Stegostoma tigrinum: one gene and its partner. The protein of the gene in region 1 purifies or fractionates together with the protein of each later gene. This does not show direct contact. Links are inferred from orthologs where the notes say so. Each region holds a gene or a part of one and is shown in the gene's direction. Other genes may lie near its edges.

The links.
Region 2: the proteins of raraa (region 1) and klf5a purify together in Homo sapiens (affinity purification with western blotting; 4 studies listed by BioGRID). This does not show direct contact. The link is inferred for Stegostoma tigrinum from reciprocal best matches to the Homo sapiens genes RARA and KLF5.

What each region holds. Positions count from the first base shown.
Region 1 is NC_081384.1:11,679,602-11,687,773, reverse strand, and holds the start of raraa (retinoic acid receptor alpha-A), read left to right. Parts: upstream 1-4,884; 5' UTR 4,885-4,992; intron 4,993-8,172. UniProt on the Homo sapiens protein: Receptor for retinoic acid. Retinoic acid receptors bind as heterodimers to their target response elements in response to their ligands, all-trans or 9-cis retinoic acid, and regulate gene expression in various biological processes.
Region 2 is NC_081359.1:25,686,714-25,695,018, forward strand, and holds the start of klf5a (Krueppel-like factor 5), read left to right. Parts: upstream 1-4,959; 5' UTR 4,960-5,152; coding exon 5,153-5,311; intron 5,312-6,094; exon of another isoform or gene 6,095-6,179; coding exon of another isoform or gene 6,180-6,203; intron 6,204-8,305. UniProt on the Homo sapiens protein: Transcription factor that binds to GC box promoter elements. Activates the transcription of these genes.

The sequences.
Region 1 (8,172 bases):
TCAACCTGTTTGTATGGAAAATATTCTGCTTCTTATCCAATTTGCTTTTATCTGGCAGTCACCATGACAACGTGTTTGAGAAGTGACTAAACTCTTCAAACGTGTCAGGAGATGAGAGAGACAGGACAGTACTGGGTCTCCACTATGGGTGGTGTGTTTGTAATCACACAGTGCCTCTAGGCTATTTTAAATTAATCCAGTGTGTGGCAAGACTTCAGAGAAATAAATTTGGTTATATGCAAGTTGGTTGAACACTAATTAACTCATCTTATTTACACGTTAAAAGGAATGAACACAGGATAGCACACTCAAAGAAATCCCTTAATGCTGCCAAGTTCCCCTCTGCATTTTCTCACTTCTTCTGCTCTAGGGAGGACATCTATAGTTCCCATCACTGAAAGGGAATCCTTTTTTTAACATTCTTTTGTAAAATCTGTCCTCTTCACCAACCTTGCCCCTTTTTTAAATTAAGGAAAGGGAATTCTTGACTTTTATGGTTGTATTAACTGAACACTCTATGAGCTAAAAAGATGAAGGAAAATTTCTGCAGGAATTATATTATATGAACACTTTTCAACACTGGCTTGAAATTTTTTTTATCTGTGGAATTTTTATGAAAAATCCACAAGTACTTTGAGACATTATTGTACATAGTAGTGATTTGTATTTAACTGAACACGACTACAGAAACCTTTCTGTATGGGATAGTGCAGTTTTCGCTATAATAGAAGGCAGCCATTAATCTTGGGTTTGAGAATGGAATTCTGAAACTTCAAATAAAGGTCAAGCTGCCAATCACCAAATGTAACTGTCTTCTTAAAAAAAACTTTGATATTAAATTTATATATTTTTTTCCTCTTAGGGTGTGATGGCTAACAGCAACAGGGGCTTTCCTGTGACTTGAACTGAACTGTTACCTATCACAGGATGAGATGGTCCTTGCTTATGAGATGTATTCTGTTGTAAATTGCAGCTCTGGCATGCATGAGGACCTAGTTCTGTTGACAGTGTGTGTAGGCCCTAGGAACTTCCACTGGAGGAGGTGAGTTCTAGGGCCCTGCAGTGAAGAAGTGGATGATCCAACTGGCATTAGGAGTCACCTGCATGGGCAGACAGGTGGGCAGGCACTAGGAATTAACAGCTATAACATTGTCAGTCAATAGAACCCAGACAAGCTGACCCCAGGAGGGGTAGGCTAGCTCTTGCACCAATCCGTGTTGCTTAAATGGCCGGGGTCTAGGACCATGCTGCACTAAGACAGGGTTGCTAGTCCTACTGAAACCAGGAGGGCAGGTGTACACTAGTACCCATTCACGCTGACAATAGACTGACGAGAACCTTGCAGTGCTGGCCCTGGGAGGTGCAAAGACAGGCAGGCACTAGAACCCAGCTGTACGGCTCTGGCAAGAACTGGCACTACTATGTTTTAGTGCCAGCCCAACTGCTCTCCAGGGGGACAGATACTAGGATCCAGTAGAGCCCACTCGAACTGGCTGGAACAATGAGCACTAGAACCTGGCAGTGCAGACCCCAGCAGGTAGTCAGGAGAATGGGCACTGGGACCCAGCACTTCTCGCTCCAGAAAGCATATGGTAGGAGAGCCCAAGGACCCAAGTGTTGATTTTTGCTTGTACTGGAAGACCGCCATTCACTTGTACCTGACAATGCCAGCTTTGGTAGGTGGATGGTGGGTATTAGGACCCAGTGCTATGGCCTCTGACAGGCATTACGACCCAGCAGAGTCAGATTTGGTAAGAAGGTGGTGGGCACTAGGCCCCAGTGGTGCCAGTTCTGGCAGGCAGTATAACTTGGTGATAATGGGGTGCAGAGCTGGATGAACACAGCAGGCCAAGCAGCTTCAGAGGAGCAGGAAAGCTGTCATTTTGGGTCTCGACCATTCTCCAGAAATGGGGGAGGGGAAGGAGATCCTAAAATAAATAGGGACAGAGGGGGAGGAAGATCAAAGATGGATAGAGAAGATAGGTGGAGAGGAGACAGACAAGTTAAAGGGGCAGGGATGGAGCCAGGAGAGGTGAGTGTAGGCAGGGAGGGGATAGGTCAGTCCAGGGAGGATGGACAGGTCAAGCAGGCGGGATGAGGTTAGTAGGTAGGAGATGGGAGTGGGAGGAGGGGACAGTTGGGAGGAAGAACAGGTTAGGGAGGCGGGGATGAGCTGGGCCGCTTTTGGGATGCGGTAGGGGGAGGGGAGATTTTGAAGCTTATGAAGTCCACCTTGATACCATTGGGTTGCAGTGTTCCCAAGAGGATTATGAGTTGCTGTTCCTGCAACCTTTGGGTGGCATCAATGTGGCACTGCAGGAGGCCCAGGATGGACATTGTCTGAGGAATGGGAGGGGGAGTTGAAATGGTTTGTGACTGGGAGGTGCAGTTGTTTATGGCGAACCAAGCGTAGGTGTTCTGCAAAGTGGTCCCCAAGCCTCCGCTTGGTGTTCCCCGATTATAGAGGAGGCCACAACGATGCAGTATATCACAATGGCAGATGTGCAGGTGAACATCTGCTTGATGTGGAAAGTCTTCTTGGGGCCTTGGATGGGGGTGAGGGGGGAGGTGTAGGGGTAGGTGTAGCTCTTCCTGCGGTTGCAGGGAAAAGTGATGAGTGTGGTGGATGGGAGGGGAGTGTGGAGTGGACAAGGGAGTCACAGAGAGAGTGGTCCCTTCAGAAGGCAGATAAAGCTGGAGAGAGAAAAATGTCTTTGGTGGGGTCAGATTGCAGATTGCAGATGGCAGAAGTGTTGGATGATGATGTGTTGGATCCAGAGGTTGGTGGGGTGGTATGTGAGGATGAGGCAGATTCTGTTTTGGTTGTTATTGCGGGGAGGGGATGTAAGGGATGAGATGCAGGAGATACTGTTGAGGGCGTTCTTGCCCACTGAGGGCAGAGGGAAGTTGCCGTCCTTGAAAAATGAGGACATCTGACATGTACGGGAGTGGAATGCTTCATTGTGGGAGCAGTTGTGATGGAGGTTAAGGAATTGGGAATAGGGGATGGCGTTTTTGCCGGAAGGTGGGTGGGAGGTGGTGTATTCTAGGTAGCTGTGGTGGGCTTGAATGGATATTGGTTTCTAGGTGGTTGCCAGAGATGGAGACAGAGGAGACCAGGAAGGAGAGAGAGGTTTTGGAGATGTTCCAGGTGAACTTAAGGTTGGGGAGGAAGGTTTTGGTGAAGTGGATGAACTGTTTGAGCTCCTCCATAGGAGCACAAGGCAGTGCTGATACAGTCATTGATGTAATGGAGGAAGAGGTGGGATTTAGGGCCAGTGTAGGCATGGAAGAGGGACTGTTCTACGTAACCTACAAAGAGGCAGGTGTAGCTTGAGGCCATGGGGGTATCCATTGCTACCTCCTTTGTTTGTAGGAAGTGGGAGGATTGAAAGAAAAGTTGTTGAGGGTGAGGATCAGTTCCGCTGGGCAGATGAGGGTGTCAGTGGAGGGGGACTGGTCGGGCCTGCAGGACAGGAAGAAGGGGAGGGCCCTCAGACCATTTGCATAAGGAATGCAGGTGTACAGGGACTGGACACCCATACTGAAACAGGTGTTTGGGGACTGGGGAATTGGAAGTTCTGGAGGAGGTGGAGCCCGGGTGGTGTCACGGACGTAGGTAGCGGGTTCCTGAACCAAGGGGTAGAAAATGGAGTTGAGATAGGTGGAGATGAGTTCAGTGGGGCAGGAGCAGGCCGAGATAATGGGTTGACCAGGCTAGTAGGCTTTGTGGATTTTGGAAAGGAGATAGAAGAGAGGGGTGCAGTGTTAGGGAATGATGAGGTTGGATGCTGTGGGTGTAGGTCACCTGAGGTGATGAGGTTGTGGATGGTTTGGGAGATGATGGTTTGGTGGTTGGGGGTGGGGGCATGATCAAGGCGGGGTTAGGAGGAGGTGTCGGAGAGTTGTTGCCTGGCCTCAGTGATGGGGAGGTCAGTGTGCCATACTACAACTGCGCCTCCCTTGTCCGCGCATTTTATGATGAGGTTGGGATTGGAGTGGAGGGCTGCAGTTTCTGTGGGGGAGAGATTGAGGCGATTGATGACTTGGCAGCAGTTGGAGATGAAGAGGTCAAGGGAAGGTAGGAGGCCTTGGGGTGGTGTCCAGGAGGAGAGGGTGTGTTGGAGGTGGGAGAAGGGGTCAGTAGATGGAGGGTTAGGCTCACAGTTAAAGAAGTAAATATGGTGGCAGAGGCTCCCTATCTCCTCCCTGCCTAATTCACCTACATTCATGGCTCTATCCTGGCCTCTTTGACCTGTCTGTCTCCTCTTCCCCCTACCTTCTCCTCTATCTGCCTTCTATCTGCTACCCCATCTCTCCCTATTTATTGCAGAACCCTCTCCCCATCCCCCATTTCTGAAGAAGGGTCAAGGCCTGAAACGTCAGCCTTCCTGCTCCTAAGATGCTGCTTGGCCTGCTGCTTCTATCTAGCTCTGCACCCTGTTATCTCAGACAGTCCAGTATCTGCATTTCCTGCTTTCTCAGACTCAGTGGTATCTGCTCAGGTGCGCACGAGAACCAGTGATGTCAGCTCTGCCAGGCACTAGGACCCACTTGTGCCAGCTGTGGTGTGTGGGCTGGGGTGCACTAGCACCCCCTGGTACCAGCTCTGGTGGGTGGGCAGGCAGGAAAGCATTGGGTACTAGGACCCACTTGTGCCAGTTCTTGTGTGGGCTGGTGGGCACTAGGATCCAGTGGTGTCACCTTGAGCAGGAGGAGGGCATTGGGCCCTAGGACCCAGTGGTGCCAGCTTGGGCAGGAGGAGGGGGTAGGGCACTAGGACCCAGTGGTGCCAGCTTGGGTGGGCAGGAGGCGTGGGTAGGGCACTAGGACCCAGCGGTGCCAGCTCTGACAGGCAGGAGGAGGGGGTAGGGCACTAGGACCCAGCGGTGCCAGCTCCGGCCGGCGGGCGGGCGGTCGGTCCCGGGTTGTCCTGGAGCGTCTCTGAGGAGCCGCCGGATCTGAGTCGCAGGCGCCTGCCGGCTGCAGACAGTGAGTTTTTACAGACCCCCTCGGGCTCGCAGACAGGCACGGAGCAGGGGGATTCGGGGGGCGGTATCTGGTTCGGTGCCGGGTTGGGGACCGAGGCTGCCGGCGTTACCCTCTCAACTTTCCCGTGAGCGGGGCTTCCTCGGGCCGGGCAGCCCAGCCGGCACTCACCGAGAGGCGGGGAAGAGGCAAATCGAGAGGCGGGGCTGCAGGATGTCCCAGGCGGGGCCTAGGAGTAGCCAGGGAGAAATTTAAATCCTGCCTGTGAAACTTTATCAAAGGTAGCAGCAGCTCCCCAGAAACTGTCCCAGTGGGTCTGGAAGAGGATGGTCTCTTCCTTTTAAAAGTTTATCTGGTTTATCAGCAATTAGCTCTGGTTTTGAATTTCCCAGTGGATTTTAGCTGCAAAAATGTTTGTTTTCGCAGTCATCTTGTGGAAAATATTTATAGTTTGAGGCAAAAACCAGGCATCTCACCCACGGGGTAGTTTTACTTTACTTGTCAGTTTCTTTTGAAGTGAGTTGTTGCAAAGAATGTTTTCTGTGCTTTCTTCTGAAGTATTTGCATGGTTAATTGTGAATGTCTGTGCATTTCCACTATTTTGCATCTGTTTTCTTCTCCCCTCTTTTAAGATCTGTTCTCTGAATCTGAAGGTTTTAGGCCCAATATCCCACCCCAGGATTTCAGTGAAATATAGGCTGACACTCCCAGTGCAGTGCTGACGGAGTGTTGCATTGTCACCGATGCCATCGTTCACATCACAATATTAAACCAAGACCCTGTTGGCCCCTTCAGTTAGGTTTTAAACAGTTTCCCTGGTGTCCTAGGATGGTCAGTAACTATTCTTTGATCATCATCAATTAAAAAAATGATCTAGCCACAATAGGAATGCTGTTTGTGGGATCTTGCAATGCACAAATTGGCTGCCACTTTTCCTGCATTTTGCCAGTGACTGCAATGAAAAAATTTTTTCTGGATATCTTGTCCTGCAGATTTCATGCTGGTTACCACTGCTGCCGCACAGCTCCAGGGACCTGGGTTTGGTTCCACCCTCGGGCTGCATTGAGTTTGCACATTCTCCCTGTGTCTGCGTGGATTTCCACCAGGTGCTCTGGTTTCCTCGCACAGTCCAAAGATGTACAGGCTAGGTGGATTGGCCGTGCTAAATTTCCCGTAGTGTTCAGGGATGTGTAGATTAGGTGGTTTATAGGGGGATGGGTCTGGGTGGGATGTTCTGAGGGTCGATATGGACTCGCCGGGCCAAAAGGCCTGTTTCCACACTGTAGGGATTCTATGATCCTATGAAAAGGTGAAACTGTAGTGTCCACCTCAAGTCAACTCGCTTAGCATTGAGACATGTAGTACTCAAAATCAGCTCCACCAGACAGGATCTATTGTTTGTGTACCTGACACCGGACACCTGAAGCAACTGCCCCATTTCAACTCGGTCATGACAGAAAGGCCACAAGAGAAGGCAGTGAATACATTGAGAGATTTCATTGGGAACATACGGAGTCAAAGTCCATGTTTCAGAGGATGCACACAAATCTTGAAACAAGTCATCTATCTGACTGTTCAAACACTATTTACCCCACCTATGCCAGGATCTGCAGATGGCATTTTGAATTTGTCAGAAATCTCTGATCCCATCCAACCAGAATGGACATGTGTCATCCTGAGAAACTGCCCGTGAAGAGATGAATTCTGAAGTAACCTGTGTTTGCTTCCCCTGAAGGTAGTCAGCACTTTACTGTGATCTGGCTCCACCGATGCCAGTCACTGCCTGATGCCTTGTTGAAGTTGTTTTTAATCCATGTTTTGGGCAGTGAGAGTTAGTACGTTACTGGCATCTGGATTGTCACTGTGTTTTCACCTGATGTCAAAGGCACGCTGTCCCAACATGGGCTCACTAGTTAACAAACAAGCAAAAACCTTAGATGGTAATATTCACCAGCCAGTTTATTTACTTGCTGTGTAAAAATTGGATCACACAACCAAAACTTGCAGGTTTCTTCACTGGCTCCTGCTGAAACAGGATGAGTGCGAGTTATCATAGTCGACCTCAACCCCTTGATTGAGGGCTGGGAAGAGTTTGAAGTCTGTCCTGCCTTGTGATGGAAGTAGGTTGGGTGCTCAGTGAGGTCTGGTTTATATTGAGTGCGATGCCTTCTGTGTTCAAAAAGTTGGTCAGGGATCAGTGTTTTGTGCTGGCATGTTGAATGGCCATTCAGTTGAGGCATCAGATGCTATTGGTATTCATGCACTTCTGACTTCCAAAGGTTAGTACCTTTCAGAACGGATCAGGATTGGAAAAATTTCTAAACGCATACTATGAACCTAATTTAGATAAGTAACATCATTGATATCCTTGAGTGATTTCAAGTTTCTGAACTCATTGTCTAGTTGGGATAATTTATTTTAAACTGCAGAACATTGTTGCATTTTCCAACATCATCTGAGTCCCACTGAGTTTAATATTTTGTGATCAGCATAGCATCTCTATGATTCTCTGCTTGTACTACACTGGTGATAGAATTTCTCAGGAGATGAAGTTATGTTTGCATTGTCAGTTAGTAGCAATGACATTTACTGTTGTCATGAGCATCATTGGACATCCTTGTGTAACATGCGTTTGGACGCATACAGAAGCATAATTAGCAGAAAAAAGCTAAACTTGAAGTTGTAAGTATTTTTATATCGGAAGCACTTGTGTTTAAAGATCTTTCCAGTAATTTGGTTAACATTTCTCCTTTCAAATTACTATCTTGTATCTTATGTGATAGAATAATTGTTGCACTTTATTTAAAAAAAAGTTCTGTTACAATACAATATTTTTGATGCATAAAGCTTATTGCATTTATTTTATGTGTTCTATTTTTATGTTCTAAGGTCTGAAATAGGACTATGCTTTTATAAAGGCACACAACTTTTTATTCATTTTGGTTTAATCATAAATATTTATATATACATTATATTTTTTAAGAGTGCACATTTGGAAAAGAACATGCCTACAGACTTTTGCAAAGCTGCATTCTTCGCAGTTTTTTGTCTTTCATATTTCCCTAGTAGTTCAGTATAGCATTTGGTGTGATACTTAGTCATACAGATCACGTGTGATGTGGTAGTACCCTATTTTGTTGTATGGCTGTGTACCAGAATGGTTATTGTGATCTAGACTGACCT
Region 2 (8,305 bases), on another chromosome or scaffold:
AGCAATGGCAGGAGTTTCTGGGAGTAATTCAGGATACACAGCAAAAAATCATCCCTAGGAAAAAGAAGCATGGTAGAGGGAAGATGAGGCAACCATGGCTGACTAAGGTAGTCAGGAATAGCATAAAAGCAAAATAGAAAGCATATAATGTGGTGAAGGGCAGTGGGAAACTAGAGAACTGGGAAGCTTACAAAGACTAACAGAGGGCAACAAAGAAAGAAATAAGGAGGGAGAAGATTAAATATGAGGGTAAGCTAGTGAGTAATATAAATGATGACTGTAAGAGTTTGTTTAGATATATAAAGGGCAAAAGAGAGGCAAAAGTGGACATTAGACCACTGGAAAATGATGGTGGAGAGATAGTAATGGGGAACAAGGAAATAGCTGAGGAACTGAATAATTACTTGAATCAGTCTTCACGGTGGAAGACATGAGTACTCTCCCAAAAATTCAATAGAGTCAGGGGTCAGAACTGAGTATGGTGGACATCACCATGGAAAAGGTGCTGGTAAAACTGATTGGCCTTAAGCTGGATAAACCACCTAGACCAAATGGACTACACCCCAGATTTCCAAAGGAGATAGCCGAAGAGACAGTGGAAGCGTTAGTGGTGGTCTTTCAGGAATCTCTCGAGTCAGGAAGTGTCCCAGAGGACTGGAAAATTGCTATGTGCCATCCCTGTTTAAAAAGGGTGTGAGACAAAACATGGAGAATTACAGGCCAATTAGCCTAACGTCAGTCATGGATAAGATTTTGGAGTCCATTGTAAAGGATGCGATTTCTGAATATTTGAAGGTCTGTGGTGAAGTATGGCAAAGTCAGCATGGTTTACTTAAGGGGAGGTCGTGCCTGACAAATCTGTTAGAATTCTTTGAGCAAATAATGAGCAGGGTAGACCAAGGAGAGCTAATGGATGTTATTTACCTTGACTTCAGGAAGACCTTTGACAAGGTGCAGCACAGGAGGCTGCTGAGTAAGGTAAGGGCCCATGGTGTTAGAGGCAAGGTGCTAGCATGGATAGAAGATTGGCTGTCTGGCAGAAAGCAAGGTAATGGAATAAAAGGGTCTTTCTCAGGATGGCAGCCGGTGACAAGTGGTGTTCTGCAAGGGTCATTGTTGGGACCACAACATTTCACTTTATACATTCATGATGTAGATGAAAGAACTGTGGGCATTCCGGCTAATTTTGCAGATGAAACAAAGATAGGTGGAAGGACAGGTAGTATTGAGGAGGTGGGGAGGCTGCAGATGGATTTGGACAGGTTAGGAGAAGAAGTGGCAGATGGAGTACAACATGGGAAAGTTGAGGTTATGCAGTTTGGTAAGAAGAGTAAAAGCATGGACTATTTTTTAAATGGGGAGAAAATTCAGAAGTCTGAAGTGCAAAGAGACTTGCGAGTGTTAGTCCAAGATTCTCCCAAGGTAAACTTGCAGGATGAGTCAGTAGTCAGAAGGCAAATGCAATGTTGGCATTTATTTTGAGAGGATTTGAATATAAAATCAGGGATATACTACTGAGGCGTTACAAGCTGTGGTTCGGCCACATTTGGAGTATTGTGCGCAGTTTTGGGCCCCAAATCTCAGGAAGGATGGACTGGCCATGGAGCGCGTTCAGAGGGGATTCATGAGAATGGTCCCAAGAATGGAAAGCTTAACATATGAGGATTGTTTCAGAACTCTGGGACTCATTTGAGTTTAGAAAGATGAGGGGGGATCTAGAAACTTACAGGATACTGAATGGCTTGGACAGAGTGGATATTGGGAAAATGCTTTCATTAGTAGGAGAGACTAGGACCTGAGCGCACAGCCTCAGAGTATAGCGAAGATCTTTTAGAATGGAGATAAGGAGAAACTTATTCAGCCAGAGAGTATGAATCTATAGAATTCACTGCCACACAAGGCTGAAGGCCAGGTCATTGAGTATATTTAAGACTGAGATAGATAGGTTCTTGATTATCAAGGGGATCAAAGGTTATGGGGAGAAAGCAGGAGAATGAGGTTAAGAAACTTATCAGTCTTGGTGCAGCAGACTTGAGGGCTGAATGGCCTAATTTCCGCTCCTATGTCTGAAGGTCTAACCACCTGCAAGTTTTCTTCCAAGTCATTCATAATTCTGACTTGAAAATATGTCGCTGTTTCTTCAGTGTTGACAAGCTTAAATCCCAGAACTGCCTTCCTAATGGCATTGTGGATGTACTTCCACCAAATAGATTGTAATGGTTCAAACAGGTAGCTGACCACCACCTTCTCAAGGGAAACTAGGTATGGACAATAAGTATTGGTTCAGCCAAAGTTGACAATATCTCATGACTGAGTAAAAGAAACTGAGCTATTAAATTGCCCATTATTTATATAACGAAAGCCTTTTTATTCTTTCGGCCAGTCAATACTTTTTAAGATGATAATTACATATTTTATTACATTGTACTTCATTTGCCACATCTTTGCTCACTCAGTCATAAATCTTTTTGTTAGCTTTCTTGCATCCTCTACACAACTTACATTTCTACCTATTTTTACGCTGTCAGCCAATTTGGAAATAGTACCTTCTGTCCCTCCAACTCATTCATTAATATAAATTGTAAAATGTTCAGGCCACAACACTAATTCCTGTTTTCCTCTATTCCTTTTTGAAAAAAAACATTTATCGTGAGTGGCCGCTTTAAGTCAGCTGGCCAGTCTTCCATCTAAAGCTAATTTATTCCCTGCAAAACCATCAGCTTTGTCTTTTGCAATAACCTTTGATGTGGCACCTTATCAAATCCCTTCCTAAAATCTAGTACAGTACATTCACTGGTTCCTTTTTGTCCATAGCATGTGTTACCTCTTCAAAGAAGTCCAATCCATTGGTCAAACATGATTTTCCATTCCCAGAACCATATTGTGTGATAAACTTGAACTTTTCAAATTCCCTGTGATAACTTTTTTAACAATAGCTTTTAACATCTTTTCCATTACATATGTTGAGCCTGTATTTTCTTGCTTTCTACCTTGGTCCCTTTTTGAATAATGGGCTTAAATTCACTGCCGTCCAATCTCACGAGAGTGTCACCAACTAGAGGGACCTTTGGAAAATCAAAACAATTACATCAACTATCTCACTTGTTATTTCTTTTTGAAAGCTAGGATGAAGTGTAGCAGTACTCATGACCATGTCAGACCACAGTTCCACCAATTTACTCAGTACTACTTTGATGGTGATGTGATTTTCTTCCTCCTTTCAATTTCCTGATTTATTCCTACTTCTGCGATTTTACTTGTAACTTCCATCATAAGGACTGATGCAAAGTACTTGTTCATTTGTCATTTGTTTATTTTCCATTAATTCCCTTGTGTCATTGTTTGTAGGACCAACACCAGTTTTTTTTTCATCGGTAAGTATTTACAGAAACTCTGTCTGATTTTTATTTCTGGCTTGCACTGTAATCACTCCTTCGCTACTACTTTTGTAGACATTGTTTGCTTTCTTTCTGTTCCATCCCAAATTCTGACCTCCAACCCATCTTTGCATACTTGTATGCCAGTTCTCTTAGTTTGTAACTATCTTTACAATTTCTAGTATACCACAAGTGGTCCATCCCTTGGAATAATTCTTAATCGTTGGAATGTATCTGTTTTGTTCCTGAGTCCACTTGCAAGTTGATTGTATGCAAATCGGAACACAATGCATGGCACTATAAAGCAGCCACTTGTAAGTACTGGAAATGTTTGTAAGCCTGATATTTAAAATTACAGTCCTGTTTGGGGTTCACATTGGTAAGCATGAGAGTTTGTAATTCTGATGTTCAAAAGTTGGGGACTTCCTATACTGTGTGAATTCTGAAATATCACTTAAAATATCTGCTACAGTACTTTTAAATTCCTGAAACAGACCAACACATTTCACAGGAGTACTAGCAAACATAATTTTATTTGGGATACAAGGAGATATCATGACGGCAGAGAGGCAGGTTTGACCAGTTAATGTAGGACAGAAAACAAGAGAGATAAATAGGAAAGATTTGCAGAGATCAGCGCGTAGGCACGACTGCCAATGGCAAATCAGTTGGGATCAGGGGTGCCTAAGATGTTGGTTGGAGGGGAGCAGAGATCTTTCAGAGTTGAAGAGCTGGAGATTGTTCTAGACACAAGGAGGGAATGAGATCACGAACGGCGTGTCAGTCATGTGGAAAAACATCAAAATTGAGACATTGTTGGAATGGGGGTCATGTAGGCCAATGAGCACTGGAGAAAAATTAAAACTTCCAGTGGTTTATCAACACAAGTTGTTCTACCCTTGAAAGCAAATCCAGCATCTATTCATGCACAGTAGAACGTCTAAAGTGAATTCTGCGACACCATCCCACCCCCGCTCCCCACGCATTTGAACTGCGGTGGCACCTGACCACTAACGTTGGCCTGATTCAGTACAAGATGTATTCATTACAATTACTCGGAGCAGATTTAAATTATGGTACTCATAAACTCCGTGGTGTCCATCTGTTCCTACATTCTTGGAAACCCTACGGCAGATTTGTGTTTTTTTTTCATCCGGTTACGAGTCTAATCGAAACAGTGAGAAACTTTGACGGCACTCCAAAAGTGCACTTCCACTTAAAAATTGGGAAGGATTACTTCAATCGCTCTGAATCCCAATAACAGGTTCGGATGTTTGAAACCAAAGCGGTAGTTTTTTTGGGGGGGGAAACACAGTTTCTGGGGCAAGCGGGACTTAAACCCGAGTCACCTAGCCTAGAGGGAGGGATATTACCGCTGTACCAGCGCAGCCTTGAAACATCTAAGTAAACGTTACCTCAGCACATACCTGGTGAGTGAGCGTGTAACCTGATGCTTCCAGGAGAGCCCGCCTCCCCATCCACTGGTGGGGGCTGATTGGTGAGTGCGCCCATCGCTCGGATGGGGATCTGGATCCTGATTGGTGGTTTGTGCTGTCGGTCACGGTTGTGGCCGGAGTTTGGCGGGTGTGGGGGAGAGGAGGGTTGGATGCCCGGGTGTCCCGGGGTGGAAGTGGCAGGAATGTTTGGAGAGTCGGCAGTCAGTGGGTGCGAGTGAAAACTGCGGGATCCCGGGCGGCAGGCAGAGTGTTTGCGGCGGATGCGGATCTTATACTCACCACACGCAGAAACGCACTCCCTGTGACCGTGTGGAGCAAATGGCCTGCGGTGCAGTGAGGGGCAGTTTGGGCGGGGGCAGCTCGGACGAGCCTGTCTTCACCCAACTCAAACCGGTAGGTCTTCAGGCGGAGGAGGCGATGTTCGACGGCATGAAGAGTCCAGCGGCGAGGATGCTGGCGACGGACGACTTAGCCCAGGTATGTCCCTCTAAGAACCCCACTCTCCTCACTGCAACCGGAGCAAAACTGTTCCCTTCAGTCCTTGAAAACACGAAAGGTCGTTGAAATAAGTATGCAAACTTAAATAAACCCCTTTACAAAATGTTATCTCCCCACTCACCCCATCTCTGTAACACTTCAATGAGTTTCCTGAATACATAGAACATAGAGTAATCGTATTTCTTTTCCACATTGTATCGGCGTCGGAAGGCTTTTTTTCTTGCTTCTGATTTGCAACTATTTTCTTTCACGACCCCAACTTGTATTTAACAGTTACCCCCCCCCCCCCCTTTCTTGGAGGATTAAACGCCGCACGTTTGCGAGGAAGAGTGCCCTCTCTCCCTCCCGCCTGTTTTAACTTTTTTTTAAAAATAACGTTCATTGGAGATTGGGATCCGCAAGTGCTGCTTATTGTGAATGGGAGCGATGATAAGGAAATGTGTGTAAACACTGCGAGGGTGAATGGGTAGCAGCTAAAAGTTGTTGCTGTTGTGATCCCGGAGTCGCGCTGTTGACATTAGACTTTAGATCAAAAACCGAATTCTTGTAGGAAAAATGAAACTGAGAAGTTTTATTGCCGCTTCTCCATATTGACCGTTCTCGGATTTGAAGGCGTTGGTTTTAGGTTCACTTGTTTTGTTCACGTGAATTATATAGAATTTGTTCGTAATACATATTTTAATGTATATTGATATGAAGAAACAATACATTTCGACCAGCAATTCCACGATTACACTTCCACTTCCTCCCAGTTACAGGTGGGAGTGGCTCTATAACCTGGTAGTGCTGGAATGGCTAAAGTGTGTGTTGAGGGCGGCGTGCACTCAATCTTCCCCCGTACTCGACAATGCGCAGTATGCACCAGGCGTGGGTGAGGATGTGCTGTATTTTTATTTTTAATTTAGGTTTTTTTTGGTCAGTGGGTGAGGGCCGCAGCTGGTTTAGCACTTGCTATGTCGCGTTCAAGCATCTGACTTTTTCCTCGCCTACAGAGCAAGTCATTGAGACTAGAAAAAACTTCCCAGCACTTTGAAATTCTCCCTGAGCCACTGCACCGAAAATATGCCAACGACAGCTGGAAGATCTATAATCGGAAAACTTTGAACGTGTGGCCAGTCCCAAACTTTGCAACTTCTTTTTCAGGAGTTGGTGGGATCTGAATTTGCTGCATAGTTGTTCTCTCTGAATAATTGATCAGATTTTCCGCCAGTCAGCTGATTATTATTAGCGGGAGGGGTAGGGGGAGGGAATGCTCAAATATTTGGCATTATCGTGGAGTTTTTACAGATGAAAGGGGAATGTAGCATTTGTATCTTCAACAGCAGTGAGCATGATGAATATTTCCCTGATGACTCTGAGCATTCACCACCCCCAGGCTGTAGTGATATGTGTCTAACTATTACCCAAAGGTGTTTTCTATTTAAATCATTTTGATCTGTTTTGGAAACTATTTGAGCAACTATTTTGCAGTTAAGCTGCAACTTTTTTTCTACCTCACAAGGAACGTGTGGCATTATTTCACCTTTGCACATTAAAGTTTTGGTTGTATTTTAATGGAATGTTTTTAAACTTAATCTGCCTAGTGTAGATAAGTGTGCAATTGCATTTTAAATGGTAACTAACATCATAATCCTCAAATCATTCCTTCACTATTTATGTCAATGGTTATTGTAAGTGTGAAACAAGTAGATATATTGCAAAAAAATCTTTTTTAAGCCATCCTCATTTTCAAGTTTGTGTAGTTCAGAAAAGCAAAGAAAATAAGTGAAAGAACAAGATGCAGCTGGATTAGGTTGATGTTATGAGAGTGCAGTGAAATGTTTCTGGTATGTTGGAGATGACTGCTAATTCTTGGTGCCAGTTTCAGATGACTCTGTACAATCCTTTTCTAAACAAATGAAATGGCTAGATTTTCAAGCAATCAAAAGTTCATGTGCATGGTAGACAAACCCCTGTTTAAACCCGTATACACAAATCCCTCACCTTCCAGGACCCCTCAATCTCCATCTCAGGCAACCAGCTTGTAACTGATGTCCATTTCAAGCCCACCGACTCCCACAGCTACCTAGAATACACCTCCTCCCACCCACCCTCCTGCAAAAATTCCATCCCCTATTCCCAATTCCTCCGCCTCCGCTGCATCTGCTCCCACGATGAGGCATTCCACTCCCGCACATCCCAGATGTCCAAGTTCTTCAAGGACTGCAATTTTCCCCCCACAGTGGTCGAGAACGCCCTTGACCGCGTCTCCCGCAATTCCTGCAACACATCCCTCACACCCCGCCCCCGCCACAACCGCCCTAAGAGGATCCCCCTCATTCTCACACACCACCCCACCAACCTCCGGATACAATGCATCATACTCCGACACTTCCGCCATCTACAATCCGACCCCACCACCCAAGACATTTTTCCATCCCCACCCTTGTCTGCTTTCCGGAATAGACCACTCTCTCAGTGACTCCCTTGTTCGCTCCACACTGCCCTCCAACTCCACCACACCCGGCACCTTCCCCTGCAACCGCAGGAAATGCTACACTTACCCCCACACCTCCTCCCTCACCCCTATCCCAGGCCCCAAGATCACTTTTTCCATATCAAGCAGAGGTTCACCTGCACATCTGCCAATGTGGTATACTGCATCCATTGTACCCGGTGTGGCTACCTCTACATTGGGGAAACCAAGCGGAGGCTTGGGGACTGCTTTGCAGAACACCTCCGCTCGGTTCGCAATAAACAACTGCACCTCCCAGTTGCAAACCATTTCCACTCTCCCTCCCATTCTTTAGATGGCATGCCCACCATGGGCCTCCTGCAGTGCCACAAGGATGCCACCCGTAGTTGCAGGAACAGCAACTCATATTCCGCTTGGGAACCCTGCAGCCCAATGGTATCAATGTGGACTTCACCAGCTTCAAAATCTCCCCTTCCCCCACCGTATCCCAAAACCAGCCCAGTTCGTCCCCTCCCCCC